Caenorhabditis elegans: one gene and its partner. The protein of the gene in region 2 interacts with the protein of the main gene of each other region in a biochemical or structural test. Each region holds a gene or a part of one and is shown on either strand. Other genes may lie near its edges.

Region 1 (17,522 bases), on a different chromosome or scaffold from region 2:
GAGATCTTTTGAATGAAATTTATTGAAAATTTGCTGTGTTTTTTTTAAAGAATTACATTATGCAAGATTGATTCAAACCCAAACAGTATTGTACATAGCGGTAAAGGCGGTACGGTATGGGGGAGTTATAGGTCTGTAGGTAGGCACGGCTGGTCAGCCAAACTGGCAAAAAGTACCATGTGCACTGAAAATGTTCAATTCTGTCAGAATCAACTGAAACTTTTATTGTTTTTTTTTCGAAAGCAAATTTGCAGTTTTCAGAAAGTCGGAAATTTTCACTATTAATCAGTTTTTAGTTTTGTAGGCTTTGGAAATTTTAAGTATTGGTTTTTAAAAAGGTAAGGGGATTGTGTTGGAGTACCGTAGTAGGGCTACTGTAGGAATACAGTAGTTTCGAAAATTTTCCGTTTTTTGGCTTTTGCAGAGTGATTGGATTAAGTTGAGTAGCGTTGGGTACACAATCGTTAATGCGGGGTTTCAGTCAAAACAGAATTTCTGGAACTGCAGTGATTATACAGTAATCCTACAGTACCCATACAGTACTCCAGCACTAAATATTAAAATTCCCGAAACTACAGTAATCCTACCCTACTAAGGAGTACTGTGTGGATACTGTAGAATACTGTATGATCATTAGTAAAAATACTTTAATGTATTACGGGAACAATAAATCATGAGAATACGTGGTGCATTTTATTTGACGCGCGATATTTCTTAGCGAAAACTACAGTAAGAGCTTAAATATCTATTGTTATTTGAGTTCTTACTGTAGTTTTCGCTAAGAGATATCGCGCGTCAAATAAAATGCACTAAGTACGCATTCTCATGATTTATTGTTCCCGTAATAAGATTGAGATAAATCTCCAAAAAACTAACCATTTTGAACGAACTCGGCAATTTTTTGGCAGACAATGTCGTGAAGAGACTTGGCCATTGTATGGAATAACCAGGGAATAGAGGAGTACTATCTTGCAGAACGAGAAAAAAAAACAAAAAGACTGGAAGGGGGTGAGAATTACGAACAAATGGTACGGGCCTATGAACACCTGTCTCTAATGTAGCTCTATCATTGCACCTCGTGGGAATGAGAAAGTGGGAACAGTCATGGATGTTTGCGGTCAGATAAAATTTTAAGTATAATATTGTTTCAAAAACTGAAATATGAAATCTGATAAAAATTTCATATATTATAACTACTAATGACTTCTTGCACTTTGAGAATCCTTCTTTAAAAGAATCGCATAATTGTGGTTTAAGATTTATGAAACTGAGTTGATTTTTAATCAGGAACAGAGAAAGATTCAAACATGCAAGTTTACATAAAAGAAACAAGTTTTCAAAAACCGTAAAGAGCCCTAACTTCTGAACAGTTGAGGAATGATGCAATAGGGTCATTTGTAATGTATTAGGGAAATTTGATTGGGGTTTTTTAATGGGAACTTTTAATAGAACAAATTTGTTTGGCACTTTTCAAAGAATTTTTCAAATATGAATCTTGTCAATTCCAATTGCTAAGCGATTACTTTCAGCCAGTAACTGATTGATGAGTTTATATTGAACCTGGTTCCCTTCAGCGTGGTGCAATAGTTTTGTGAGCAATGAAGTAGTTTGGAACGTTATGTCATTTTTCTGTCGAGTAAGCATTAGCCTGAAATAAGAAAAAAAAAGTTAAGGTTGTTACAGAAAAAGTAAGCTACGTTTTAGCACGCACAGAAAAAATAAGAAAGTTGTTGACTTTTTGATATTTTAAAATCGGATTCCAACAACATGTACATACCGAAAGTATTTTTGAACTTGAAATATTAATTGGAACTTTTTCGATTAAACTATAATGATTTTTTTTTGTTCTACCAGCGGTTCTATCTACTGAAGGCTCAATAAAAGAGTTAAGCACTAGAAGTTCCCTGTTTAGGTATCAAATCCTCAAAAGTAGACTTGACTTTTAATTAACGAAGAAAATTTTATTAAATACTTGCCCAATCTTATCGACATTTGATGATGTGTAGAGTTCTTGCAAAGAGTCATAATTCAGAGCGGATGACAGATTTGTTAACAACTCCAAGCATTTCGTAGTAATATCATTAGACTCAACCTTTTCCATGCAACTCAATGAAATACTTATTATTCCAGCTTGTATCATGTTGGTACAAGCCTTTGAACTTTTTTCAGTCATTTTGATAGTGATTTCAAAAAATTCCGAAAGCTTCGTTTCATTTTTCTGTCCTACACTCCATTCCAGTATATCGACTAATCGATTCACATTCTCAGTTTTTTCAGATAGAGATTTTAATTCATCAGAATGCATTCTATGTATGCACTGGCACAAAACACTTGATGCTCTGGTACGAAGAGCCTTGCTTACTCGATTCTCTAATAGAAAACTCATAGCGGTTTTGCTTATTTTATCAAAATCGAGTTTTCCCAATTTCAAATTTACAAGTTTCTCGACGGCATTCCAGTAGGAAATATTGACTTTTACGTATGCTTCTGAAATCATCCTTTTGTACAAATAAACGAAGCTCATTAAAGCTTCAACCAATAACGTCACTCCGTTTGAACACAGTTGGTTGGAATAGAGCCTGAAAGTTGATTATATTCAATTTGTGTTTATTTTCGTAATTAAAATGTTGGTTTGCTTTTTCTTGAAAGTGTATAGCTTTCATAGTTTTGAGTTCCACATTTAGCGTGAAACATGATAATTTAATTATCTTTGACCTGTTTAGAAGCGTTTTTTTTTAATTGAAAAATAGTAAAAAGTCTTAACTGATGTTAACCATATTCATATACTTTTAAGAAGTGGTTACTATAATTTATAAAACGTGTCTTTATTGCTCAAGTAAATGAAAAAATAAATTTGGTTAGAAAGGCGCGAAGAATTATCAAGTTTTCGAAGAAAAAATTTCGACTTACATTCCGAATATTATCAAACACTTGAGCCCATTTTGCGTAACAGATATTGAATCAAACGTTTGCATTGATTTTACAATTGTTTTTATACATGAAGGAATATTGAGATTTTGCAAGTTATCTTCAGAGATTGAAATTCTGATTGCTTTCATACAGTATCCACTGTCAAATTCTTTTCTTGCAGTTAAACAGTAAACTAGAGCTTGAACAGATTTATGAAAGTATGCAGTATTCAAAACCCGAACATCATTATATTGTGATGTTTCCGCTTCAGTCACTGAAATGATATTTGGTATTGAAACTGCAAAACTGCACATCGTACTTATTGTTGTAACTAACTGAAGATTACGTTGCGTTTTTAGTAAACACTCTAAAATGTCACCGCTCAACGAGGTTCTGGTACAATCCATGAATCTTAACTCTGGTAATTCCATTTTACATTCTGTGAACTGCTCGACAATATTATTTCTAGAATGGAGATTAAATCTGAATGAAAATAACAATTAGAAAGATAATGCAAGAGAAAAGTTAAAAGAAACATTTAGCAAGATTGAATTCGAATCGTTGACTATATAGCTACAGTTTTTAAAAAGTTTACTTACCTTGTTTGTGATACATCCAAGACCCTCAGGTGTTTTAAGTTAAATAAATCTTTAAGCTCCGTATATGTGGCAATTGAAAAATCTCTCAGAGCGAGCACTTCCAGTTGTTTTAATCTCGAAATACCGGCAATGTTTAAGATATTGGTTCCACTGATATCCAATGACCGAAGATTTGAAAAATTACCGAAAAGTTGATAGAAATCATCTTCATTGATATGAACATCGCTCATAGTTAAATGTGTTAGTGATGGTAACATGTTTCCAATCTGAAAAATAATGGTGCGGTTTTTTTCAGAGAATATTTTAAAAAATTGAAAAAATCGTTTAGAAAGTTACCAAAAATTATTTACATTCTATAAAGTGTCGTTTATGTTGATGATTATTTAAAAAAAACATAAGAAAACATACACTTTTCTTCTGGAGAGGAAGAAAATTGTCTAAATTTGAAAATATTTGTCAAAGAATCGGTTTTTTTTTCCAAACATTGTTATTTGTTTTTCGATTTTCCAAAAATTAAAAAAAATTGGCACTCTTGATGCTAACATTTGGAGCGCAATAAATTCTAAAACTCATTTGAAAATATGGGCCAATAGCCGTAGATTGCCGTAGACCAATAACGTCACTTCGTTTAAACACATAAATTTCGCGTTGTCGCGAACCCTTTGTGTGACGGGAAGTGTGTGAAAAACAGTTTCACCTAGTTAAAACATTATATGTTAAGATAACTTAATACCTTTGCAGTCCATCTTTTCATTAGTTTTTGATCTTTTTCGATGTGTAAGTACTGAAGATTTTTACGGGTTTCCTCGTTCAGAACAGCTTCCAAAATGCGGACAATATCAACATGACGGGTTTCTTCTAAAAAATTGAGGGATTATTACAGAAATTGATTTTTCTTTGTATAAAAAATGTTCGATGTATAAAGCCTTTTACCAAATATCATTAATTCTTTTAGAACTTTTCCACTACTTCAACGTTTTTTAAAGGTTTTATTAAGATTTTCCATTCGAAATTTCTAATTTTTTTTTGAAAATTCTGTAAATTGAATGGAACAATCGATAACTGAATGGCCTTTATCGTGTATGGAACATATGTTTGCGCGTGACGGTGTTTGCACAAAATACACCGAGGGGCCCAGCCAGAAACCCGTGAAACATCTGATTCTAAACAAAATGAAAAAATGTATCTATTGCTCGTAATAACTTACTTCTTCTAAATATGCACCAACTTTTAGATTTAGAAAAATTTCCAATTTTCAATTCTTTCAACGAGAATTGTTTCAGTTGCCTTGCAGTGTTCTCATCCAGTGTCTGGGGGTGTAGTGTAACTTTTGTTACGTTCAGTTTATGGATGGTTTTTAAATTGAATGGTTTATCTCGATTCATTAAATATGAATAAACAATGTTACTCGATTTGGAATCAAGTTCAAATTCTCTGTTATCGTATGAACCTGTAAAAATACTTTAGTGTAAGATTGAGATAAATCTCCAAAAAACTAACCATTTTGAACGAATTCGGCAATTTTTTGGCAGGCAATGTCATGAAGAGGCTTGGTCATTGTTTGGAATAACCAGAAAATAGAGAAGTGCTATCTTACAGAACGAAAGAGAATGAAAAAACAAGAAAGGGTGAACAATCGAGGATTGCGAGCAAATAGTATGGTCCTATGAACACCTGTCTCTAATGTAGCTCTATCATTGCACCTCGTGGGAATGAGAAAGTGGGAACAGTCATGAATGTTTGAGGTCAGATAAATTTTGAGTTTACATAATATTGTTTCAAAAACTGAAATATGAAATCTGATAAAAATTTCATATATTATAACTTCTAATGACTTCTTGCACTTTGAGAATATAATATAAGGACGTACATTTAGAAAATTATATTACGGGAACAAACAATTCTGAGAATGCGTACTCGGCAACATTTTTGACGCGCAAGCTATCTCGTAGCGAAAACTACAGTAATTATTTTAAGTGACTACTGTACCGCTTGTGTCGATTTACGGTCCCCATTTTCGAAATGAGGGACTTTTTGAATAGTGACAGCAACTTCTCATTTTTCCCTTGGTTATTTCGTATTATTTTCTCATGTTTTGCTTAATTTTAATATTCCATCGACAAATAAATTATTTTAATTCATTTTGAAATTCGAGCCCGTAAATCGATACAAGAGCTACTGTAGTCATTTATAGAATTACTGTAGTTTTCGCTACGAGATATTTTGCGCGTCAAGTATGTTGCACAGTACGCATGCTCAGAATTATATGTTCCCGTAATATTTGTAATCTGGGAGGTTTGAGAAGCTTAAATTCAGCCTTTAATTTTTGTGCACATATTCTTAATCTGTAGTACTCACTAGGGAATTGTCAGAAGCTTGCATATCATATATGTGCGAAATTTTATATTAGCTTGTTTCCTTCTTTAATTGTTGATTATTTTTCACCTTTGTTTTGTTAACACCTTGTTTTCTTTTATCTATGTATACCAATCACACACACACAAACATACGGCGAGAAAAGCAACTATAATAATCTATAAATATATAATTATAATAACAAGCTATATAAATCTCAACATATATAAAACTTATTGGGTGCGCGGAGAGGAGGAATCGAAGAAAAACGAGGGAAATATAATAAACGTACAAGAGTATTTTGGAAGATAGCGGGAAATTTGAAAAAATTGAAATTTTGGAAAATGGGGTTTCAAGTAAATTTGTGTTGCTGAAAACTCGAAAAATCCATTTTCCAATATTATTTACTGGAATTTCGAAAATTTTCAAATTCCTATTAGAAAGCTCGAATGGAATGGGCTATGAGAAAGATCTTTGCTGACCAGAATCGGGATATCACGGCGAAAAAAGAATGCAATTTGAGATGATGGGCGGGAAATGATGGGGGGGACCTACAAAATTTTATACATAATTGGCCAAATGTTCCGAACTTTAAAAGGCCGGGAGGCATTCCGGCACGGGGAGAGATGGGAATGCTATTCGTTAATTCAAATATTAGATTTTTTGTGGCGAAAAAATAGGTTAAAATTAATCGAAATTGATTCCCGGCAAAAATGAATATGGTACGGTAGGTTGGTGGGGTTGGGGTGATGATCTATGAAACTATTTTGTTGATAGAAGCATAGTACATACATATATACTGGGCACAACAACTAATCAAATTCAAAACGAGTTATTAAAATTATTATGCGTTCGAGACACAAACGTCATAATTTTAGATTATCGTAGAGAAATGGAAATGTGTGAAAATGGGAAGAGAAATGATAGAATGATAAAGTGAAATGAGTATAGGATAACAATATACACATGGTTTTAAACTAATTGGGCGAAAGAGAACTGGGGGAGAAGATACAGACAATTATCAATTGGGCAATGAATCACGAGTGAATTTTAGACGGCAGAGTTTCGTGCTTCCGGCCAAAAGTAGAACTTTTTGAGCAGGCGGGATGTCATCTGAAATTTAATTTAAATTTTGGGGAAAAATCTAAAACCGATACCCTTGTTTTCAAGCCGCACAGAAAAAGAGGCGGAGCGTCGTTTTGCAAACTTGCCGCGCGCCAACCGTGTAATACTCGTGGACAACTTTGAATTAATTTTTTAAATGAGTTAACAATTTTTGGCTTAAATGCTTGATGTTGATGTATTTTCGCTATTTTTTTTTACATTTAAAAATCGATAAATTTCGTTGAAAAACTACAAATTTTCGTTTTCAGTAAAATCCAATGGCTAATAAACATTTTTTACTGGAAACCCGATAAATAGTGACTATTTCAAAATTTAACGCAAAAAAATTAGCATAAAATATTCAAAATCAATCATTTTAGCTAAAAACTAAAATTCTAGGTTGACGCGCGGCAGGCTTGCAAAAGGACGCTCTGCCTATTTTTCTGTGCCTTAAAAAGTTAGCAGATCGATTGTTGTTCAAGTACCTCTGGCATCTGTTTCAAAATATTCGATCCCTGTGATGTCTGAAATCCACAAGCGACCTTCTTATTGACTTCAGTCAGCAGCTCAACAACATCCATATCCTTTGCGTGTGTCGAGAACACTTCACAGACGGCTTGAATGAACCATGATCCACGAGCACTGTTTCTCCACGAAACATATTGAGCTGTCGTTGCGTATGCAATCAGAATGTCAGCTTGGCTCGGCTTCTTTCTCCACACTTGCTGCAAAAATTTATTAATTATCATTTAAAAATGTTTACAGGACGGGGCTTTCGCTCCAAAGAATATAAAATAATCGGAATATTTTTCGAAAAAATTGAAAAAATCAATTTTTAATTTTCGAAAAGGCGATTTTTAAATTCCCTCTAAACTGAAAACTGCGACCAATCAGCAATTCACTCCGCCCACTTTCAAACCAATCCGATGAAGTGGGCGGAGATCGACGATGCTGATTGGTTTGTCATTTTATCACAAATTTCGTAATTATATCGCAATTTTTTCGTCGGACTTTCTGGAATAAAAATCTATTTTAGATTTTTTGAAGGAATATTCTCATTCAAGAAATTAAATTGCAACCTGAACTTGCGGCCGCACACATCCAAGAAAATTGAACAATGGCCCGTCTCGATTGTCCCATCCACGACGAAGAAATGCAGGAACTCCGTCGACAGAATCCAAGACTGGGAATCCATTGTCACGACGTTCTGAAAATGAATTTATTTAAAATATTTATATTAAAATTAAAATAAAAAACGAACCGCCTCGACAAGCCTGCACAAAAACGATTTTCGGCTTATTCGCCAGACGGGGAGCATTTGCCGCGTTGAGAAGATCATATATCTCGTGTGTACTAATCGGTATATCATCAACTCCAATAATCACATTCTCTTCTCCGTGTGATAGAATCACGAGTATCGCAGAATCTCCGTGTGATTCGTGTTTGGCAAAGTCTCGAATTGTCAGGAGCATTCCCTGGAAATTAAATATCAGTTTACATTAGGAACAAGGCTGGGAAATTTTTTGGGTTTCTTTTGGTATTTTGACGAAAAATTGATTTTTTGGTTTTTGGGACCAAAAAACCAAAAAAAAAATCGAAATTCGACTTTTTTTTTGAATTTTTTGGCTTTTCGAAGATTTCAATTTTACTTTTTGGTGATTAGGAAGGTTTATTGTCCAATGGTGCAATTTTTGCGACAAAAACTACGGTACCTGGTCTCGACACGACAAATTTTTGGTCAATGCAAATGGGGTGTGCGCCTTTAAGGAGTACTGTAATTTCAAACTCTCGTTGCTGTGGATATTTTTAAAATCGATTTTTCATTCTCTTTTTCTCGATTTGTTAAAAAAAATTTTGAAAAATCTAGAAAAAATGTTATAAAACTTTTCTAAATCCTTCATGATTTTTTCAAATTTTGCAAAAATAAACAAATCGGATGAATAACTTTTGAATTTGAATTGTGACGTTGTTTTGATTTTTATTGCTTTTCCGGAGTGGTTTTTAAAGTTTTTAAAAATACATTTCATATTGAAACACCGTTTGCCAATTTTCACAAATTTTAAATTGTGCATTTTTGGATAATTTTGAAAATTCAGAAAATTGATTTCGTGCTATCAAGTTTTGTATGCGGAAAATTGTCTGAAAATTTACAAACGGTTTTTTACATCAAATATTATAGAAAAACTAAGAAAAAACACATAATGTAGCCGGAAAAAACGAAAATTTCGAAACTAGGTAAATCATTTTCGCGGAAGTTCAAAATTTTGTTTTTTGCAAAATTATACATTTTTGCATTTAACACAAATTGTCGTGTCGAGACCGGGCGCCACATTTTCGGCGCAAAAATGGCAAAAATTTCGCGTTTGGGTAATATAATTTCGCCGTACCCTTCCCGTCAGATTGTCCTTGCAAATAACCGTATAGCCCATGCATCTGAACAAATTGGTAAGATTGTCCTTGTCGGCCTTGGTACCATTCCGTGTTGGCATCTGCTCAAAGTGTTCATTATTTATGATGAGGCACATTCCACGAGGACTCGAGAAGTTTCTGTACATGGTTTTCTCGTCGAAAACACGGCTTATGGTTGGTGCATCGACAAAGTTCATATCCTCTTCATGGAATATGTATTGAGTTGGTCCAGAAGCTTTGCTGAATGAGCGATTACGACTTGAACTGTATCCGAGAGAAGAGCATCCGGTGAATGAAGAGTTGGCGGATGCTGAAATGTGTTGGTTTTAGGATCGATTTTGATACCCAAATTTCCTCTTTTTTGACGTTTCGCACATTTTAATTTCGCAATGTTTCATTCAATTATATCCTCTAGAAATTTTGATTTCCCTTTTAATTTTCTACATTCATGTGATGTAGAAAAATGCAAAAATGTATTTTAATGCATTTTTTCAATTTTCGCAGAATTTTTGATTTTTTTCAGGTGTTTCGCACATATTTTTGCTGACTTTCATTCAAGATATGCTTATTAACATCTATAATTATCAATAAAGGTAATATCTTGAAGAAATTTTGGTTTTCGCTCTAATATTCTCTACTTTTTAAGTTGCTCAACGAAAAAATAATGGGGTTAATCATGTGATGTTGAAAAATACAAAAAATGTATTTTAATACATTTTCCCCCTATTCATTTGTGCAGAAAAGTGTAAAAAAACGCATGCATTTTTTACATTATTCGACATTTTTTTACATCGACCGACATCCCATTTCACATGCTGAAGACGAGAGACGCAGAAAGATGTGTGGTATTTCTCCGCGTCTCTCGTCTTCAGCATGTGAAGTGAGCTGTCGTTCGATGTAAAAAATGTCGAAAAATGCATGCGCTTTTTTACATTTTTCTGCACACATGAATAGGGGAAAATATATAAAAAATGCATTTTTCGTCATCATATGAACAACCACATGATTTTTTCGTTGAGCAATTTCAAAAGTAGAGCATACTAGAACGAAAACCAAAATTTCTACAAGATATTCACATTAATGATAATTATATGTGTTAATAAGCATATCTTGAATGAAAAAAATCAAAAAATCTGCGAAACTTGAAAAAAGCGTTTTGGCACATGTTAGATGATTTTTTTTCAAAATGTTTAAAATTCTTTTCAAAATATCTTGAAGCGAAAACTACTGTAACTCTTTAAAAGAGTACTGTAGCGCTGGTGTCTGTTTACGGAAATAATTTATTAATTGATCAAAAATATCAAAAGAAAACACAAAAATGACAAATTAAAATTCGTTGTCACAATTCGAGCATATATTCGTTTCGAAAATCGAGCCCGTAAATCGACACTACAATAGTCATTTAAAGGGTTACTGTATTTTTCGCTACGAGATATTTTGCGCGTCAAATATGTTGAGTAATGCGCATTCTCAGAATTTAGTGTTCGCATCAACATACAAGGTTGGCTGGGAAATGCGTTGACTGGAGGAGATGAATAATTGTGTCGATCCGATGAATGAAGTGCACGCGATCGAGAACGAGATCTTGCTCTTGAGTAGATATCCTGATAAGAAGTGAATGATGACACTGAAGAGACGCTGTCACGGTGAACTCGGGTCGGTGAAGTGTAGCCGGCGGGGCTCAATGCGCGGCTCCGACGATGGCTTGCCGGTGACATTGGACACTCGAATTCGACAGCATTCGAGTCAACACTGGAAAAAAGGGATATTTGAAGGAGATGTGTGTGTGTGTGTGTGACAAGTATTTTCGGCAAATCTACAAAATGGCCTTTTGCGCCACGAAAATTAGTGTTAAAAAATAAATAATCACTCGAGCTTTCAGTAAATAAAATATATTTCACTTCAAATATTTGGGAAAGTGCATAATTTCCGATTTTCGGAGGAAAAAACCGTGCCGGTGGGTTGCAAAATTACGATCCGCCTCTTTTTCCGTGAGACCCTTGCTTTTGCGCCGAACTTTAAAAACCTACGATCTGGCGAGAGGTTCAAGAACTTCAGCAAGTCCTTCGTGTCCCGTAGAGCGAAGAGCATCATAAAACGCGTCGAACGCCACATCTCCCCGTCGTTGCACTGCTTTCACGATCTCCCGTCTCTTCTCGCGAACCGTTCCACATGACTGCAAAAATATTCTTTATATTATCAATTTTTTTTTAAAATTATTATTCGATTAAAAACTCACATTAATCATATCTCCATTATCACTATTCAACACTTGTTTTGCGATGAGAACTTCGAGAATTTCATCGACTTTTAGATGACTAGAGAACATCATAATGTTCCTCTCTAGCAAGCTCCTTCTATCTTGACGCATCATCTTCGGCTGATGGTTGACCTCTCTACTGACCCGTAGTCAGAGTACGATTTGATTTTCGATTTAGTCTGAAAATGAGTGAAATTATTGGAAAAATAGTGTTTTTTTTTAAACATTGTCCTCAAAATTCAGCTCGATTTGAGTAATTTTTATCGATTTTTTTCCTAGTTTTCGTCAAAAACTCCAACAACTGCACTGAACTACGAAAAAAAAGGTGAAAGTCAGTAAAATCGGAAAATTTTGACCCTCTTGAATTTTTTATCTTGATTTCTGGCGAATTTTGGGGTTTTTTTTTGTTAAAATTGTTTTGAATCAGTTCTCTTTTATTTTCGCAAACATAAAACACAATTTTCAATGAGAAATCGTTATTTTTAATTTGAAAACTGATTTTTAAAATGTTTGTTGTGTTTTTGTTTCTGTTTGTCAGCCTGGAAAATATTAGAAAACTGATTTTAAAAATTTTAACAGAAAAATTCACGAAAATTTTAGTAATTGAATTAAAAATGCAAGGAGAATTTAAAAGTCTATCAAACTTTTTGCGTGCCGAGACCCATTGGAATAAATCCGTGCGCCTTTAAAGAGGAATGCCAAAATCTTGTGAAATTATTACGGAAACACAAAATTCAGAGAATGCGTATTACGCATCATATTTGGCGCGCAAAATATCTCGTAGCTAGAACTACAGTAATCCTTTAAATGACTACCGTAGCGCTTGTGACGATTTACGGGTTGTCAAAATTCGAAAAAAAAAATTATTTTCAAAAATTGAGCCCGTAAATCGACACAAGCGCTACAGTAGTCATTTAAAGAATTACTGTAGTTTTCGCTACGAGATATTTTGCGCGTCAAATATGTTGCGCAGTACGCATTCTCAGAATTTTGTGATTCCTTAATACGATAATGTCGAGCCGATTTAAAAGACTTTACCATTTTTTGTAGTTTTCGGTGCTATTATGATAATTTTACGATAAATTAATACTCAAAAATCGGAATTTTAGCGGAAATATTATAAAAATAAGATGTTAGCACACGAAGAGAAAGTGCTGCGAAGAAATCATAAACATTGAGAAGATATTCTTATGGATTGTATATATTGCGTAACAATTTGGAGAAAGTTTTTGGCCGGTTTATTGCAAATTTCGCGGAAAAAAAAGTTTATGATGGGCTCGTAAGCATGCCGATGAGAAAAGAAAGTGGATTGTAGCAGCAGCAATATGAGTCACCCATCTGGACAGTTCACATTTCTAAACGATAATTGAGACGGAGCAGGTGGCATCACGGAAGAGTGTACCGAAAACAAAACCGGGACAAGTTGAGGATACCAAGGACGACAGGAAAATGATGAAATGTGGTACAAAATGAACCGGGCGTTTACCCTGAAAGCTCCTGATCTCATCTAAGATTCCAACCCCGTCATTTGCCTCCATGCACAAATATAATGCGATTTGGATTGTTTAAAGCATTGAAATTGCGACAAAGAGCTATAAAATCGAAAAGAGCATACCAAATGAGATACACACTGCTTTCCTAAGTGGGTTTCGAAGAACACCGCCAAAGAGGTGATGGAGTGGTGGGGCTAAGGAAGAAGGTGCCGGAGAGGTCAAACATGTGGAAATCTTAGGATTGTTTTTGTTTCACATTAATTGCCCTCGTAAATTTATTTTTGGATTTGAGTATCGAAAATCTATGAGCCATGAACACGGAGCGGTGAGGTAAAGGTAAAGGTTTAAAAGTAGTTTTATTAGTAAACTAATCGTTTTTCACATAAACAGTGGTTTTTTTAAACGAAACAATGCAAAAACCAAGGTTAAATATTATAAAATCGACTTCGAGAATCTCAGAATCTTTCTGGCAACAATAAATCGGCGAGCCTTTTCTTCAATTGATGTAATAATTGCTTAGCAACACGTTCAACAAAAAGAACAAAGAAAAAAACGACAAAAGATGACTGCAAGATAACGGAAAAGGAGGCACAACACACGAATGTTCGAACGTTTGTTTTTGGCGGCTGAGTGTGGAGGTCAATGGAGCGCGTTTGCTCTCACAATTCTTTGAGACGCTGCCGCTCGAGGATGAGCATGAAAAAGTGATAATAGGGATATTAATTCGACAATAAGACGGAAAAATCTAGAAAACTGGACTTTTTTTCTGAAACAAGATTAATTGTGCTAAAACAGTCAAATTTCCTCAGAAATACACTTAATTTATTAATTTATCACCTTATTTCAGATCTCATTTAAGGAAAAATAGTTTTTCGAACAGGGAAGTTAAAAAATCCAGTTTCTATCAAAAAGTCGATATTTTCACTACTCTGGGAAGAAAGCGAAGATTACGAAGAGGATAACCGTAAATTATTGATATTTTATCAAATTTTCAATCATTTAGGCGTAAAAAAGTGAAATTCTGTTGAATAATCGCTTAGAGCTATTGATAAAGCTCAAAAAGAAAGAAAATCGATAAAATTAAAAAGTTTGCAATTCAAATTTGAATTCGTAAATGTCGTGAAGTTCGATGCCTTGGTTGTACGGGTTACTGTAGAAACATCACATTTCACGCAGAATCGCAGTGAGCCAAATTTTAAAAATTGAATTAAAATAAACGTTTTAAATTTTTAATGCAAAGCTTCAATGTTTCTTAAAATTTTAATTTTAATTCTTGTTGATAATATAAATAACACTAATTAGTAACATAAGTAACGCAAGAGCCAAAGAAAACTTTTTATTGAAAATTCTGTAGAACAGAACTTAATAATTTCAAAAAATCAAATATCGCGTCCATCAATCCCACACATCTAAGCACGTGGAAGGAACAGATACTCGCCGTTGCTACGTGGAAGATAGTACAAGTTCTCCCACACTCCTTTTCCATGTTCAGCGATGAAATATCCATGTCCCGAGATGAGCTTCTTCGCACGGTTCTCACGGCACTTTCCAAAATTGAATCTGAAACAAAATCCTGACTATTTATCAACAAACGATTTCGAGATAAGCTGACTCAAGTTTTTCACCGACGCCTGCGTACGTTGCAGTGTCCACGAACAAAAAGTTTAGCAAGTTGTGAAGTGTGCCGTCATAAAGTGCTCTGTTGTTTGAGTGTTAGTTCAAACTGAAAACAAAATATATATAGAAAGAGACGTCTAGAAATTAAAAGCTTACCTCATTTACAGCGGCAGACATTGAAATCGTTGCAAGGAGAAGAAGAAGAAGAAGTCTCATCTTGTCACGAGCAATTTCGAATCTCACAATCAACACTAAAGTTAAGACTGACCATCCTTGGCCCATGTGGGTTTTTTTTGTCGGAATTTGAATTAAAAAGGTCACGCGTGGTACAAATTAAATTTATTTATTTCTTTTCAACAAGTAAGAAAAATAATTAGAGTAAAAAAATCCTTCTCCTTCGACGTGTCATTTTCTCTGAAATAAGGCAAATTTTTTGAACTTCCTACAGTGATTTTTTCCCTATAGTCGTTATTAGTCGTTGCAAAAAAAACTATTTCGCAAAGTTCAAAAAGTTACGGTACGTGGTCTCGACGCGAACGAAAAATTTCTTCGTGTTAGACTACTTTAACGACTACTGTAGTGTGGAATCATGTTTTCCTAAAATTTTCTTCGGATTTGTAATATTTTTGTACGAGAAAAGATTTTGAGTGGATAGTAAATGGAAAGTCGATAAAATGTTTTTTTTTCAATAATCTGGCAGATCTACCGTACTAGCCAAAATTCCTATTTTTGAATGTAGTGTCAGGCTGTCCCATTACGGTTTGATCTATAAAAAATGCGGGAATTTTTTACCCAAAAAAAAATGTGACGTCAGCAAGTTCTTAATCATTCAAAGCCAGTTGAGAACTCTGTGTCTCTTCTCCCGCAATTTTTGTAGATCTACATACATCAAGCCGAAATGAGACACCACGTGGGAGGTACAACCTTTCTTTTTTAGGACAAAACATGCGTGAAGTCACAGGAAATGAGATTACCTTCGAATCCATTTTAACAATATCATATTCCATTGCAATACTTCCAATGACAAATTCCGGATCCTTGTGAAAATTTGCTTCCTCCACAATCGATTGCTCTGCGTCACAAACCAGCTGAAATTCAAATTTTCTTGCTCGAAAGCTCCTATTTTCTATACCTCAAGTGCAGTAAATTGTTCCGGTAAATCGAGTTTGTCATTCATACTCTTTTGCAACAATGCTCCATTGCTCATTTCTTGAGTCTGAATTTTTTGAATAATTTTTTAAACTTGTGCGTAAAATATGATGTAAACTGTAAATATTACTAAGTCTTTGGCAATTTTTGCGTCAAAAGGTCTCGGCACGATGTTTTTGTTGAATACAGATGTGCGCCTTTAAAAAGTACTGTAGTTTCAAATTGTTTTTTTCTGCGGGAAATTCATAGACTTTTCATAGTTTTCTCTTAGAATTTTTTATGTTTTTTTAATCGAAAAACGTTTTATGAAAAACCTGTTTGAAACTACAGCACTCTTTAAAGGAACACAATTTTTGCATTAACAACAAATGTGTCGCGTCGAGACCGGGTACAGTAGTTTTGGGGCGAAAATTTCAAAATCGCTTCGAAAGTTAGAAATGCCCCCACCAATCTGAGTCTTCTAAAAGCTAAATATTTTTTCTCCAATTCCTTCCGCATCTTCATCTTATAAATAACTCCTTCTCGAATTGGGAATTGTTTTGCCAAATCTTGCCCGATTTCCTCATTCGTCGGCTGGTCAAGAATTGTCTCTCGAATTCGATTAGTTTGCAAAAACTTGAGCTTTCTCTCGTGTCTGCGTCTCTTCACACTCTCGCGATGGAATCGAATGGAGTTTCGGATTTTCATCCAAATGAATAATACAACAGCAGCTGGTATCATGCAACTTATCCCGATTTTTGCAACTTCTTGCCATTGACGGGCACTGCGTTCTCGGTTTCTGCAAATTGTACAGATTTTGTGTAGTTTCAAATTGCGCGTAAGATTTGGAGCATTGGGTCGTTTGAAATTCAAATAAAAATAGTCAATTTGGAGTTCTCCTCGAGGAGTACACAAGCCGCGTAAACCCACAGACGGTCTGATGCACCATACTTGACGCGCAGAATTCACTAACCCAAGATAAATCTCCGCATATCGATTCAATCGCATACACCAATCATAACATTTAAAGTCGTTTGGAAACTTCTGGAAATTTTTAATTTTATTGATTTTTCTACCGCTGAATTTTTTACTTCACAAGTTGCCCAGTTGTCACCATTTTGGCAGGAGATGACAGTAAAACCTGAGAAGAGTATTAAGATAATTATCGAAGAACCTGAAAATTCATAATTTACAGTTTAAAAAAACTGGAAAATCAAGAATTATGCGCAAATTCGTGAAAACAGCTTTAAAAAATTAACCCAAACGTGCCGAGCGTGGCCGAGTTTTTATCATGTTCGGCCACCTAGCAAGGGTCTCACAACACCATCACACAAAGTGGCGTCGCCTACGTTGCCTAGGAAATTGAAAAACTCGGCCAGCGATTTAGATTCGTTTTTATTTTATTGAGTGACCGAGTTTCTCCCATTTTTTCTAGGTCACATAGCAAAAGCGCCGCTTCAAAAACTCACTTGCCATCAGACTTTTACCGAAAAATAAAGAAAAATAAAAAAGAAAAAAGAAAAATTTAAACAAAAATAATTAATTGGTCACGTTTTTATTGGAATTTCTGAACATGTCAAAATTCATCAAATTTTTTTCTTTCAAATTTTAGGAAAATAAATAAAAACTAAAGTGTATCCACCGGAT
Region 2 (14,375 bases):
ATTGATTTATTCGAAGTCAATACCTGCCACGTGCCAATTCCGATCAATGGCATGTTGTTCTTAACATATTCACGATGCTCCATTGATCCTGAAAAGCAAAACAATTACACTTGAAATAATTGTTTAAAAGTAAATAAATAACTGTTGGCTTCAAACCAAAAAAGACTGAAAAAAAAAACGATTTTTAAAAGGAAAAATGTATTGTGCAGCAAGTTTAAAATATGAAAATGGTAAGATGAAAATGAAATGATTAGATGTGTTACATGGAAAAATGAGAAAAATGACACAATCAAGAAGAGCATTCGGTCGGCGAATTTTGAGAAGTGGGGAGTAGATCTGAAAAATACATAGATTATTATGATTATCTGAAGTTTTCGGTTTTTTTTTTAATTTGGATTTTTAATTTTTTTTAAATTTATCGTTTTCGCATTTCTTTTGTGATATTTCAGAATTTCAGACTAACTTTCCAATTTTTCAGATGAAAAATGTAATTTTCTAATTTTTTTTCAATAATTTTCAGCCAACTCACTTCCATCGCGATCAAATGGGACTCCCGAAAACAACGTCCCGTCGATTTGTTTGATGCAAGACCATTCATTCTTAACGACATCATAGGAAAACAGTTGGGCGACATTGAGCAAGAATTGGCAGAAGATCTTACCTTTCGGTAGAAAATAATCCTGAAAATTAATTTTATGTAAACATTTAAATTCGAACAGAACAACTGAAATGTACCTTTTCAAGCATTTTTTGCAATTCTTCAAAAACTTTCAGCGGCTCAAAATTGTATTGCTTGAGAATTCGTTCAAATGCGGACCACATCTTACACTCTTTCGCCAGTTGCACCACACTCGGGACATCTTTCACTTTTGGAATCATACTGATAGCCTGCGAAAAAAATACACATTATATATCAAACTTTTGTGTTGTTTCAATAGTTAAAATGACCCTAAAAACCGAATTTTACAACAAGACTTCAAAAAAAAAAAAATTAATTTTTGAAACAGTCTCGTTATCAAATTCAGTATTTCGTGGCCATTTTACATTTTAAAAGTTGTAATACCTTGTCATAAAAATCGCCGAGACAATATCTATCCTTCGTTTCTCCAATATCCATGAGTGAAAAATTTGAAAAACAAAACCAATTGATTTCTTCATGTTGTTCGTTCACAAAACGCTCGATTCGGGCGAGCCTCTTATTAATGGCAGCTTCACGATCATCGTCAAACACAAAACTTTGCTTTGTTAGAAGCTTGATATCGATGTTATACTGCACACGTGTCGCTCTAGCGATCGCCACATCAAATCTTGTGACCCTCGCGGCGTGTTCCTCTTTGGTCAAACGTTCAGCACTCCAGTGCTCAATGGCATCTTCTGGCTTAAGTTTCATAGTTGAACGGAAATCATAGTAGGAGTCAATAAATTTCGTCAATAGTACTGTGCATTTTTTGAGGAACACGGCAAAGTCATCACAAATGTCGTCGGTTCGAGACACTTCCCCACTGATTTCAATTGCAAATTCTTGATTATCTTTGATTCCTCTCGAATTATGATCTGCTTCACTAGAAATGGAACAGACAGCTGTCTCATTTTCGAGCACTTCGGGAATGTTGTCGATGATGGGAACTTGTTGAACCATTGAAGAATGACTTTCAGAAGTAGAAGGACCATCTATGTACACCAAGCTATTGCGTGAAGACCTCCTGTTTCTAGCTTTCATTGGTGGTATTGCTACGAGCTTCGCCTTTCTTTCAACCTTTTCTGAAATTATTTTTAGATAAAAAAGTGCGGAAGATTATATATCAGTGGAAACATATTTTTTAAAGCTACATGGAAGGCACATGTGCTGTGAAAAGTTCCTATCATCAAAATAAAAGTGTCTCCCTACAATGAGCCTTTAAAGAAATTAATCAAAAATATGTAAAGCATCTGACACCCACTATAGCTATTACAGAGACAAATAAATGTTATTATTATCACAATACCTTTTTTCTGATTATGTTCCTCCAACGTTTTAATGAAAACTTCCCGGCCATCGTTCTGAAAAAGAAATATTCAGTAATCAAGTTTACTCCAGTTGCTTACCAAAAGTTTTTCCGCATTTTTGTGTTGCAAGAGCTTCTTTTCCACAATCTCCACCATGGGTCCCAGGTTCGATGCAATCACTGAAGCTACTTGCATCTGTAAATGATCCCCGTGGTGCTCTCGTTCATGACACATATTCTCGACGGATTTTCTCTTTCTCCGCACACTTGGTTCATCGTTATTTCTGTCAGAGCTCGAGCTAACTTCATTATCCGATGTGGGTCTACTATCGGAACTATGTGAATCGTCATTCACATGCATATCGTTTTCTCTGTATTTCCTTTCTTCGATTTTCGAATACTTTTGGATGTTTTCCGCAAGCTTTTCCAAGTGTATGTCACATACCAGTTCCGGCATAGGCTCTTTGTAGATTTTGAAGCTGCCAGACAGTCGAAGAGTATCTCTAATGGAACCTTCGGGCTTCTTGCAGTGGAGAGAAGGGCCGGCGTGCTCAGAACTTCTCGATGGACGAGATCCTCTGACCTGAAAAACATCAAAGCTTTAGAATTCAATGAGAAAATTTTTTACACGATGAGAATATTTGTTTGGAAAAAACTATAGATACCAAATAGTTTTAAAAATGTTAACTGGCTCTCTTGAATGCTAAAAAATCAGAAAAATTAACAAAAAGAAGCAAAGTCGTGTAGGAAAATGGGTAGACCGAGTTAAATTTCAAAGGGGGTGTTAATAAAACAACAATATTAACTTTTGTTTAAAAGAAACTGCGGGTTTCCACACCTAGAACATAGAGATTTCGTCATAGATTTTGAAAACACATGTTTCGCGCGCTTTCACTTGCATTGATTCTACCTTCCTGCAGAGTAATTGAAATAAATGTTCTTATCTCTTTTCGAAAGCGTGTGCATTCATTCAGAATGAACATAATAATAGAAAAATTGATGGCTAACTGTACTTAATGAACCTTGCCGAAGAAACTGAGAAAATTCAATAAAAGAAGGAAAAATGGAGGCCCAAAAAACTCGAATCTTCCAAACTGAAATTCTACAGTAAGCGCTATCGCGTTTTCGCTGCGAGACTCTTCCGCATGAATGCACCTCCCTTGAAGGATGCAAAAGTACTGTAGCTTTTAGTAAACATTTATTATTATTTACCCGATAATCTCCGTTATTTTGGTGCATGATTTCTCGCCTGAAATAGTAAATAAGAATGAAAGAAGAAGACCAACATTCCGATATTTTCAGACCGAAACTGTTTAAAATGGTATATCTAACAACAAAACGAAAAATAATAATTTTATTGAAGTCAATCTTAGAAGAATTCGGGTGATTTTTCTGACTTGTCCGGAGATGTTGGTGGCGAGCTTGTATCAGTATTGAATTCCATTCTCATGATTTGGGTACTCTGAAAGCATTTCCAGTATTAAAAATGTAAATAAATAATATTTGAACCTCTTGTCGAATTACTAGTCGTTCGTTTGCCATTTTAATCGCTCTATGAAATTCATCTTTGTAATGAGCATCCCGTGCATTCTTGAACTCCGTGTCACTTCCCGATTCACATGGTGTAATGGACAGACGACAAGGCGTCGGCGGATCTGGCTGAAATCATGAATCTTAAGACTAAAACTTCGTTGAATCATGCAAATACCACAAAGAGATGTCCATGGGTGAGGGCTCTTGGTTGATAAGTGACTAGGAGATTGCGTTCGTTGAAAATTGCTCGTCGAGCACGTGTCACCCATTGACCGAAAACAGTGAACCACTGAAAATAGTACGTAATCGATAAGTTAAAATACTGAAACAGTACAATATACAGGGATAATGATATGAAGACTGCTATCGGTCTAGATGGAACTCCATTGATGGCAAGAATCTCGATAAAGTGAAGCAGCAAAGCAAATGTAGTAATGACGCCAACAGAGGAAAGAAATCGAACATCTTCAAAACTGAAAGGAAATTGTAAAAATTACGGTTTTCGTGAAAACTCATCAAATGTCCTTTTGGAATGCACTTTGAATTTAGAACACAGAAAATAACTTACTTCATGTTCGAGACTAAAAGTACGACTTTCAATTTAATGAGGCGTGTTTAAAAATGATCAATTTGGAAGTTTCGAACAATAGGGAATAAATCATTTGGATGCGATAAAATAATAGTCCACGAAATTCTTTACGTGAATGTATTAATTCGATTAATTAAAATTATAAAAGAAACTGAATATATTTGAAAAAAAAAAGCAAGGATGAGATGAAACAAGATGTGTTGAGTATCTGTAGAAAACATTAAATTTAAGAACATTTGGGATAGATCTGAAATTTTGGAGAGAAATAAAACAAGTACAAATGAAAAAATGAGAAAACTCGTGCGAAAAAGTATAAACGTATTTCGAGGGGAATATACAGGCAATATTGTACACGATAGGTTTTAACAGCATGCAAAATTTTTGAGGGAGTCATAGAATTTCTGGTGCAATTGCATGAACTTTGGGAAGTCTTCAGGACGGATCACAGTTTCTTCTGTAGTTTTTGGATACATCTCACTGGCTGATGAACGACGGAATTTTTGGAAATGTGATGGTATATGTCGCTCCGGTACTGATACATTATTGTTTCCTATTTCAAGAAGACGCTGCTCGAGAATTGAGATTCCATTCTGAAAATTTAAAATTTAATTGAAAGTTGAGACATTTTCAGCATACGGCGATAGTTTGTGCATCAACGACGTGTTTCAAGAACATATGGATAATATGATCAATTTTGAATGTCAAAACGGGCATTCGTTTTCCACTGAGAAGAGCTCCACGTCTGAAATTTTAAGTGTTAATTTAAATCTTCAAATTTCAAGACTCATACTTGCTGAGTCTTTTCAACCGATCCGCAACTTCATCATCCAATTGTTCTTCTTCATTTGAACAAATATCAACTGGAATAACACATGACCATAGCTTGACGGGTATATCAACTCCAGGAGGCATCACAACTGCGAAAGCAAGAGCACTTCGATCCTCATCTGACAAAACTTCAACACATCTTTGAAGAGCCATTGCGAGTGACTTGTACGAGTAAGGGGTGATACATTCAACACCGACTAATCCTCGACTTTCCAATTTGTTATTAAGCTGTGCCATTCTGAATGCAAAATGTTTGATAATTTTAAGAATATACCTAGCGATTTTGGACTAAAAATGTATTATTTCGTTTCGACATTCCGGAAAATGATTAAATAAAAAGAGTATGCGGATTTAAGAAGTACAGTAGTCTCCAGCCTTGCTGTTTTTCTATTTTACTTGATTTTTTTTAAATATTTTATTCAGTTTTTAATATTTTTAGACTTGTTTCAAAATAAAAGGCTTTAAATAAAAAGAAACAACAAGAGAAAATCGAAAAATAATGAAAACAGGCTCATACTCGCTTTCATTTAAAAAATTTCCGTCGGGTCGAGACCGTGTATCTCTTGTTCAATTATGTAAAACGATAATTTTCTTAAAAAATTAAATCGATGGCAAATATCAAGAAAATCTCTCGGGTACGGTAGCTACACAGTTTTCTCTCGTGCCAGGATCCTAATTCTTGATTTTGATCCTCAATTCGTAAAATTTAAAGACAATCAGCTATGAAACTTTTTGATTAACTTTTATTGTAGAATAAATTATTTTAAAAGTCTCAAATTGGTATGTCCCACTCACTTTTCAAATGTTTTCGGTTCACAAGACTTGAAAAACATCATAAGCGTTGCTGGATTTCCACTGCTTAGTTCGATTGTTTTATTAAGCACATCTTCTTCTTTTTCTCCAACAGGCATCGGCATTCCATAAGCTTCTAGAAAATCATAACATTCATCGATTTCCAATGATGTCACTTCAATGAATTCGCATGTTTGAGAAGCAGCATTTGATATTTCCACGTCACGAGTAGTTACAAGACATCGAAGACGTAGCTCCTGAGCCCAACGAATTGTTTCTTCTTGAACTACGTCATCAAATACGAATAAAGTATTTGGACGATCAATGAGTGCGTTGCAGATCTAAAAACCAATAATTTAAGATATTGTACCAGAATCGGCAAGCAACTTACCATCCTTTTGAGTACAACTGACGTGACATGCTCCACCGATGGGAAATTGAGAAGATCGTCTTCGCTTCTTGAAAGAACACGGTTAATGAAGTCGGTGATCGAATGCGAGTCATCCGTGTCGCTCACAACACGGGCTCGTCTTCAAACACACAAAACATGCAAGCGTCACGAAATATCAAATTAAAAGCTAACCAGGTCAAATTTTCATAATTTCAAAATCATGCTGAATGTTACATGCACTCTATTCACTCACTTTAGCATCAGCAAAATATCCGTAAATAAATCGAATGTAGATTTTGGAGCTGTTCCACTATCTTTGAGCCAAACGATTGAATCATAATTTCTGTAATAGAATGAAGATCCGTAGGATTCAGATAATACCACTCACATTCCAATAAGTTGGTCAGATTTCGAAAGAGCTTGTGATGCAATTACTGATTTTCCGGATCCAGCTCGGCCGTGTAGAAACAGAAAAAAGGAGTCTGAAGTTTAAGCAAGATTATAATAAACACGAGAGCTTCCAGTTTTCTCACCTAAATCACACATCTCGTCGAGCTTTTTGATCACTCGATCCACGTGATACTCTCGAATATAGCATGTCATTTGTTTTGGAACATTCCCAAGCAATAGTTTCCTATCGAGCATTTGTCGGGAAAATTGTGGAGCAATCACTACTGGACGAAGTAGATCTGGCTCATTTATCGCAAAATCGATGTAGTCTTCGAGGAAATCAGCAAGGTGACTTTGATTGTTGTAGTTGAAAAAGTCGATGAGTGGTCCAAGTTCAGAAGCTTGACGTCGATAGATTCGAAGAAAATTGGCGATCCTCTCGAGGCGAGTTGACATTTTACTGATAAGTTCAGAATGATCTTCTGTGAAAATGTTTTTGCCTTCTAAATAAGTCAATGCGTCACGTGGTTCAAAGTCGTGGATGAGCCTCGTGTGTGCCGTGCTCAAAGCGCGGCATTCGATTTCGCAGAGCATCTGAAAAATCTTCTTGATTATAAGGAAGCAAGATTTTGTGAATTTTAAAATGCTAGGTGATGTTTTCGAAACAACGGTTAGCTGGAGAATATACAATAGCATTGATAAAAAATTATTTGTTAAACATTATATACACTTTAAAAAAACAGGCATGTAATATAGAGGATAAATCTCCAAGCCCGAAATGTGCATAAATTGTGAGGCATAAAAATACCTTGAAAATGAGTAAAGAACATTGTATAATCAGATAGAAGCAAGAAAGATTTTAAAAAAATACAGTAAAGCTTACAGATAAAATGAAATTAAACATGAAGGAGTACTAATTTATAAAAATCGTTGAATATAAATAGACCGGAAGATATGCTGATCTCGAATGCAACGAGTAAAAAGTAGACAAAAATAAATTCGAATTTTCAGATAAAAATGCAGTTTATTTGGTAGAAACATTGTACAGGAATGTGAGAGGCCTAATAAACAAAAATATATCGGCAAATCGGCATATAGTTCTTATTTAAAAAGCGAATGAGTAAAACAGTGAAATATCACAATCCTTTATCCTTTCCTCTTTGCTTAGTGATTGTCACACGTCCTTCTTCTAAATCTTCCACTGTCGCTGATATTTGCCGAGAATCCCAACCCTGTAATACAATATTCAAATACAAAAACAGTACATTTTGTAGCTTCATACAACAATCAGAAAAATTATAATTTAAATTAAAAAGAAAGCCAAGCCCTCTTTATTGCGTTTTATTGATTTTTAATCGTTTTTCGTTAATCTTCGAAAATTAATTTGGAAAAAAAAACAATTTTTTTAATTGTAGAAACATCAGATAACTTACATTAGCCCCTTTCAAGTTAATCATTTTATCGGTGACAATTTCGAGTTTTGCGAGCATTTCTCCAAATATTCTGTTATACGCATAGACATCTTCGCCGTGTTTGAATGACTTGTTATCGATCACAAGTTTCGGTTTCTGAATCGATACCGAACAGACAATGATTCGACGCGAATTCGGCCGATTCATAATAATATCCAACTCTTGTCGAATTCTCGGATTTTCGAAAGACAAATTCAGCTTGAATTCAGGTATTCGAGTATTCTGATTTGAATTGAAGTAAGTGACTGGCTCAACAAGCTGTCCTCCTCCACGTCCTCGCAGAGTTTTCTTGTTGGACTCGAACACAGGCGGAGCTGACTGTTGTTTATGAATATCGATGACTCCGTATTCATGCAAAACTGTTTTGTCCATTTCATCACTCCTTTTCGTGAATTCGTCTAGCAATTCCGTTAACCGCAATGTGCATTCTGCTTGATCTGCGGCACTTCTTGTATTGAAATCATTTTTTGCTAAAGAATTTGTATTTTGAGCTTTTCAAAGTTTTCAACAATTCAAAAGATACCTTTTAGTTCGGCTCTCGCGCGATGGCACTCAATTCGATCCTTCTGGACTTTTCTATCTTTATCGAAGTTCCGGCGAGCAGTATGTAAAAGTGGATGATTGTCTGAAACATTTAAATTTAATAATTAAAATAAAATCAATAAAAGATAATCTTGACAGCTGGTTTACCGTGTTCCAACATTGCCAGCTCTTCAATTAATTTATTGATCGGCATGTGACGAGCATGTCGGATGAAATCTGAAAGAAAACCATTATCATGTGAATGTTAATCAATAATATATACCATCGTCAAACTCCACATCGTTTGTGTTAGATGTACTCGCAATTCCAACGTCCTGGAATAATATATTCAATTAAAAATGTTTTAAAATACTAGTCTCTCACCATCCAGGATTGTTATAGGTTAATTGAGTGACAGCTGTAAATGTTTATCGGAACTTTAATGTTTTATAAAAAGTAATTGTTAGAAAAAGTGAAGAGTTATAAAATATTATTTAAATGAAGCAAACAAAGAGCAAGCTGCTCCGCTTTGCAATTCGAATTGCCGGGAATATCAATCGTCGTCAAATCAGGTGCATTGGTACCATAAGCCGTCGAGTGTTTGCACAGAAACACATTTTTGTTTATTTTTTGAATTTAAAAGTGTAAACTTTATGATTTTGAAATGGTTTTTTTATGTTTTATTTTCCTTTTTCCTGTATTTTAGACCCATCGGTAGAAAATGAAAGCAACAATAAAGCTCTGGTGTCTAATAACCGGCTTTGTATATATTGCGCCCAGATTCCTTCTTTATTCATAATTAAAACATTGTTTCGCGAAAAAAAAATGTGTCGAAACTTCGACACATTTTCATAACTTTCATTTTGAAAAAGGGGACGGGCTTTAACACGTCCTTTTCCACAATTCATATGTCTTCACGAAGTGTGCGTGGATTGTGACTTCTACCCAGTTTTCTTTCCATCTCTGCGTCTTGCTCTCCCCAATTTCACGTGATAGACGACGCAAGCCTGAAAAATCATTATTAAAAATCTATCACTCGTTTTATGAAAAAAAGTTTTCAGTGATCAGCCAACAATGTCACCACGAAAGCATGAACAGTGTTTTAATTTCGATGCTGAGATATCGGATATTCAAAAATGCCTTGTCGAAGGTCATCGCACAATTATTTTAATTCGCGGAGTTACGGGATCCGGAAAATCAACATTAGCTCGAGAGTTGGTAAACCATTCCGAAAACGGCGTTATTGTGAAAAACGATGTTTCCAATAATATAACAAGATCAGGTATTTAATTTAAACATTGTTTGTGTACATAATAAAAATTAATTTCAGTGCGAAAATTTATCGATGAAGATAAACATCTTATCGTTGTAGACGAGGAGAACGTACAACGATCAAGTGTTAAAAAATTCGCAGAGTTAGCGGTTAATGGCCACTACGAAATTTTCGTGTTGGAGCCGGACACGGATTGGAGACACGATGCAATTGAATGCAAAAAGTTTGAGTTTTAATTCCTGAATTTTCTTCTAAATATTTCATTTTACAGAAGAAGCGAAAAAGATGAAGAGATCGGGTCTATCGAGTCGAAAATCATGCAATTAAAAGAAAATCAACTCGGCTGGGAACATTTAGTAATTGGTGGAGAAGCTTCAGTAAAGTAAGCCAAAAGCTCAGTTGGTGTCAGGCTTTCCCACATTTTCATCTAAAGTTTTTTTAAACCATAGAATAGTGATGTGGCACGCTTTTGACCATGTTGAACACTCTGGCACCACGTAATTTTAATATATTTGGCAAGCGTGTAATTTGAACATTAAAAATACAATTTTCAGAATTTCAAATTTCCACATCGATACGGAGATTACCAGTGTCCTGTGTAAATCACCAATCAGTTCAGTCAATAAAGGATCACTGACAGAATCGACAACTTCATCCACATCCTCACTATCTCAAATATTCTCAATGACTCCTGAAATCAAAGTTAAATCAATGAGAAGTGTCGGTACTCAAGTAGACGTTCAGTGTAGTAAGTTTAAAATCTTTTTTTAACTATCCAACTAAAAATAAAACAATTTTCAGTTACCTACGGACTGGCAGGCTTTGATTCGGTATTCAAACATTGTGGTGTTTTTTCTGGTGAAGAACATAATGTTTCAAGTATTTGGAAAGGACCAGTTCGTATGGTTGAAAGAAAAACTGAAACGGAGAGTTTTGAGATATCTCAATATGGGGAAACTGTTTTCAAACCTTCTCTTCAACTTTTAGTGTAAGTATTTTTCAAAAATTCAAACAAAATTCGAGAAGTCAATTTTCAGCGGTACATCTGACGAAATCGCATTTTCATTGCTTCGTCACGTGTTCAGTAAAATGGATATTATAGAGCTTCGTCATTATCTTCAAGTTCTTGGATTCGAGAAGACGTTCAATTTGATGTATAATCTCGGCGAAGAATTCATTGAAGGAGAAATTCCAGTTGACGAACGAATTCTTCTCGATGAGATTGAAGCTTTGGAGAGCTTCACTGTTTCAAATATGACTATTGAAGAAGAAATTGAAGCTAGAAGAGTTGAGAGACTTGCACTCAAGTTTGTGGAAGAAATGTGTAAGTTTTGCAGAATCGAATGAAAATAACTACGAATTTTCCTTGTTCCAGAATGTAGAAAAATTAAAAACCGCAGAGATTCAAGTTTATAGTCAGCACAAAATTATTAATTAACATAACTATCAACATAACTATTTGTGGAAACATTTTTAAAGTACGCAAAATTGTACGTATCTAAAAGTTATTTTTTTGGGTATAATCACCCCAACCTGTAATCAATCGATTTTAAATTAAAAAAAGAGTTATTTTAATAACATAGTTTTTTTTTGACATAACCCCTTAGAAACGTCACTTAATATTTCAAAATCCTTTCCCTAATATAAAATTATTTTCAGATAATCCCGATACCGAGAATGATGAACAAATCGCACTCCTCTTGCACTCTGAAATGAACGACGAAAATGGAGACAATGATTTGATCGAAGAGGATTATTTCAACATTGCAAATCTAGAGGAATCATTTCCGGGTACTAATAAAAAAGTAGTCCGTGAAGCGTATAATATCGCTGGTAGAAAAGTGGACTTTACTCGTGAAATTCTTTTGAGTAATGGCGAAGTAGAGAATACATATGCGGTGAAGTTGAAACCGAAACCGACATGGAGTAAAAAAGTTGCGTCTTCACCGAGTCCACTTCGTCTTTCGTTGCCGAAAAAATCGAAGAAAGAAGAGGAAAATCATTTCCTAAAGAAAAGAAGTGGAAGGTTAGCCAGTTTGTAAACATTTAAAAATGAAAATTCTAACATTTCGCATTTTCAGACATTCCCAATTGGAAGAAATCCAATTGCTTGCCATTAGAACTCGACAGAAAATCGAAGCAGATCGCATCACATCTTCTAATTCGATGGCTGCTGCGAAATATCGCCAATTGATAATTGTCGATCGAGCGTCACGAATGAAAATTGAAAAATCATCGGAAGTGAAAGAACTTGATCGGAAAATTCGAGAAGCCCACAACAATCCATGGTTTCTTGATTTACATTACATGTCAGTTGATGGAGCAGTTAAACTTGTGAAAGAAGCGATTGAAGCAGTCAAATATCATTTGAAAGCTGGTAATATTTTTTGAAATATTTTGTGCCAAAAATATTCATATTTTTTAGCTAGAAACCTTGATAGACGAATCACTGTGGTAACTGGATCTGGTAATAATTCGAAATGTGGAGCCAAGATTAAACCTCAAGTTTTGGCAATGCTGCAGCACAATGATTATAATTATGAACTCGTGAATGATGGATGTATAAGATTCAAAGTCTAGCATACCGTATTCTCTCAAATATCTCTGCTTTTCTTTGCGCTGTATTTTTTGAAATGCACTCAAGAAAGTTAAAAGTTGAATTTGTAATAAGTTACGGTGGTTTCTTATGCCTCTGCAGTAGGTATTGAGAGAATACGGTATCTATCACAATGCCCCTCAAGAAACCATCCAAATAATGTATTTTCTTTCCAATATTTCCTCACCATTTCCCCCATTCCATGACTTTACCCTTCACCGATCTCAATTTTTTTTCAAATTTCCGCGTTGAAATTTGCGTTTTAAATTTTTCTTTTATGTATTTCTCCCATTATATCCTACCTCTTTCAATATCCCACAGCCATTCAGGTTAATTTTATACTCGGTTTCTTTTTTCTTCTCACTGCTGTGATCATTTGCGATCTACTTGTTCCCACCAGATGCCTTTTTCGTGTACTTTTCCTGTTTTAATCAATTATGATAATAATAATATAAAACTTTCTTTTATTGAAATCACTTTATTAGAGTTATTAATGACGATTTCGAATTTTAATTATAGATCGAAATCAGAGCTGGATCCTGGAAATTCTTCTTGGCTTCTTCTTTTCTGGCAACACCTTCACACTCGATTGTGCCGTTTCTGATATCATCTTCAACAATTTCTTTGTCCATCACAGCTTCTTGGACATAAATCAGTGATGGAGTCATCCAATTTGAATAATTCATTTTATGGCATCTTTTTTGAAGTGAATGATAAGCACGGATATTCTTATGGAAACAAATAATTTGCCTATCACTCAAATCATATAGCTCATCATTTCCCGGACCAACACCTTCACCATATGAGCTAATGTTCTCAACACAAGACACCAATGATGTAGAATATGGTACAAACTCTTCGAAAAACATTGGCTCCGTTGCCTTGTGCTCCATTTGCCAATGCTCCAGGAAATATCGTGTCTCGAGTTTTGGAATGATTTTCCGCATCGAAAGCAGATGATAGAAGATGGCTGAATTCTCTGGTCCCGCGTATTCTGGCATTTCATTTCCGACAATACTGTAGAAGAGATGACGAGGAAGACCGATTTGGCCAGCGAGCATTTTGATGTAGAAATCTGAAAATCAAAGAATTAAAAATAAGTACAACCATTAAAAATATATACATTTTTCTCAGGAATTTCGAGTCTTTCTGTATTGTACTATAGTTCAGCTATTTCTCAAACTCGAACTCAAAGGCACGCGGGTTCATACGGTTGGGTCTCGTCGAGAAAAAGTTCATTTATCGTTTTTTAATTGAATTTTTCAGAAGATTTTCAGAAGTTAACAAAAAATTATTTTGAAATGAAAAGAATAAATGAAAAATCTACCGCCTCAATAATAACTTTGCAGCGAGTAATTTGCAGTGACCTTAAAGGTAGGAAGACCTGCCTACTTACCAATTCCACGCGAATCTTTTTGCATACAACCCAGAGTTTTAACATCGATCATTTCCTTCTCAACATTGTCGGGCCTTTTCAGTTTATAAACGTTCCCCTTCCGCGATAAACCTTCAACTTGTAGAACATCAAATAATTGACATTTGCAAAGTACATGACGGACCGAGTTTTTCCAATTTTCATTTGCGTAGCGATAATAACGCCAGTGATGTCTGAAGAATTAATTGAAAATATATACTTCGCTCGTGAATGAAAGAAAGATGGCAGCCAATCAGAGAGATTGGCCACGCCGTAGTGCTGATTGGTCGACTTTGATTCTCTCGCGAAATTAAAAAATTAGACTGAATGATCCAGTGATACATTTGAAAGAATTAAATTAAGGGAACTTACAAAATGAACGAATAAATTTCTGTTGTAGATATCATTCCATCTGGAGAATTAAGACATGTCAATGCACTTAGAAGTTGATAGGACAACTGAGGGCGTTGGATATTCCGAACTTTAACCATCTTGAATCTTTTCTGAACAAACCACTTTTCAATCAGCGGTCTGTTCTGTATCACTTTTGGAATAGTGATTTGTGAACCCCATTGGTCCTCTGTTACCAT

Evidence for each region.
Region 1: of the proteins of ced-4 (region 2) and ced-3, one has a biochemical effect on the other in vitro, tested with the Caenorhabditis elegans proteins (4 studies listed by BioGRID, with this or other methods).

The regions. Positions count from the first base shown.
Region 1 is NC_003282.8:13,192,316-13,209,837, forward strand, and holds ced-3 (Cell death protein 3 subunit p17), read right to left. Parts: upstream 11,823-17,522; 5' UTR 11,752-11,822; coding exon 11,617-11,751; intron 11,554-11,616; coding exon 11,408-11,553; intron 11,130-11,407; coding exon 10,876-11,129; intron 9,688-10,875; coding exon 9,356-9,687; intron 8,444-9,355; coding exon 8,230-8,443; intron 8,176-8,229; coding exon 8,048-8,175; intron 7,975-8,047; exon of another isoform or gene 7,825-7,974; intron 7,694-7,824; coding exon 7,454-7,693; intron 6,978-7,453; coding exon 6,915-6,977; 3' UTR 5,946-6,914; downstream 1-5,945. Other genes in the region: F58D2.5 (Macro domain-containing protein), read right to left, coding at 877-934; C48D1.1 (Zer-1-like leucine-rich repeats region domain-containing protein), read right to left, coding at 1,483-1,648, 1,977-2,579, 2,911-3,184, 3,230-3,393, 3,510-3,775, 4,243-4,367, 4,717-4,959, 5,010-5,067; C48D1.9 (VHS domain-containing protein), read right to left, coding at 15,153-15,161, 15,722-15,835, 15,880-15,963, 16,344-16,674, 16,849-16,919, 16,967-17,049, 17,345-17,351.
Region 2 is NC_003281.10:4,845,052-4,859,426, reverse strand, and holds ced-4 (Cell death protein 4), read right to left. Parts: upstream 7,103-14,375; coding exon 6,652-7,102; intron 6,601-6,651; coding exon 6,507-6,600; intron 6,462-6,506; coding exon 6,374-6,461; coding exon of another isoform or gene 6,372-6,373; intron 6,254-6,371; coding exon 6,119-6,253; intron 6,069-6,118; coding exon 5,731-6,068; intron 5,174-5,730; coding exon 4,898-5,173; intron 4,850-4,897; coding exon 4,744-4,849; intron 4,698-4,743; coding exon 4,470-4,697; downstream 1-4,469. Other genes in the region: C35D10.6 (NADP-dependent oxidoreductase domain-containing protein), read right to left, coding at 24-83; C35D10.7 (ULP_PROTEASE domain-containing protein), read right to left, coding at 290-336, 530-680, 736-888, 1,064-1,761, 1,986-2,040, 2,086-2,568, 3,198-3,224; C35D10.8 (PH domain-containing protein), read right to left, coding at 3,355-3,447, 3,495-3,644, 3,694-3,807, 3,853-3,991, 4,087-4,091; F26A1.1 (Non-structural maintenance of chromosomes element 4), read right to left, coding at 7,645-7,740, 7,942-8,450, 8,504-8,605, 8,671-8,739, 8,786-8,837, 8,887-8,889; nonu-1 (Smr domain-containing protein), read left to right, coding at 9,577-9,784, 9,833-9,998, 10,047-10,157, 10,330-10,523, 10,577-10,763, 10,813-11,099, 11,435-11,801, 11,857-12,152 and 1 more; Putative forkhead-related transcription factor fkh-5, read right to left, coding at 12,881-13,446, 13,768-13,979, 14,158-14,375. UniProt on the Caenorhabditis elegans protein: Component of the egl-1, ced-9, ced-4 and ced-3 apoptotic signaling cascade required for the initiation of programmed cell death in cells fated to die during embryonic and postembryonic development.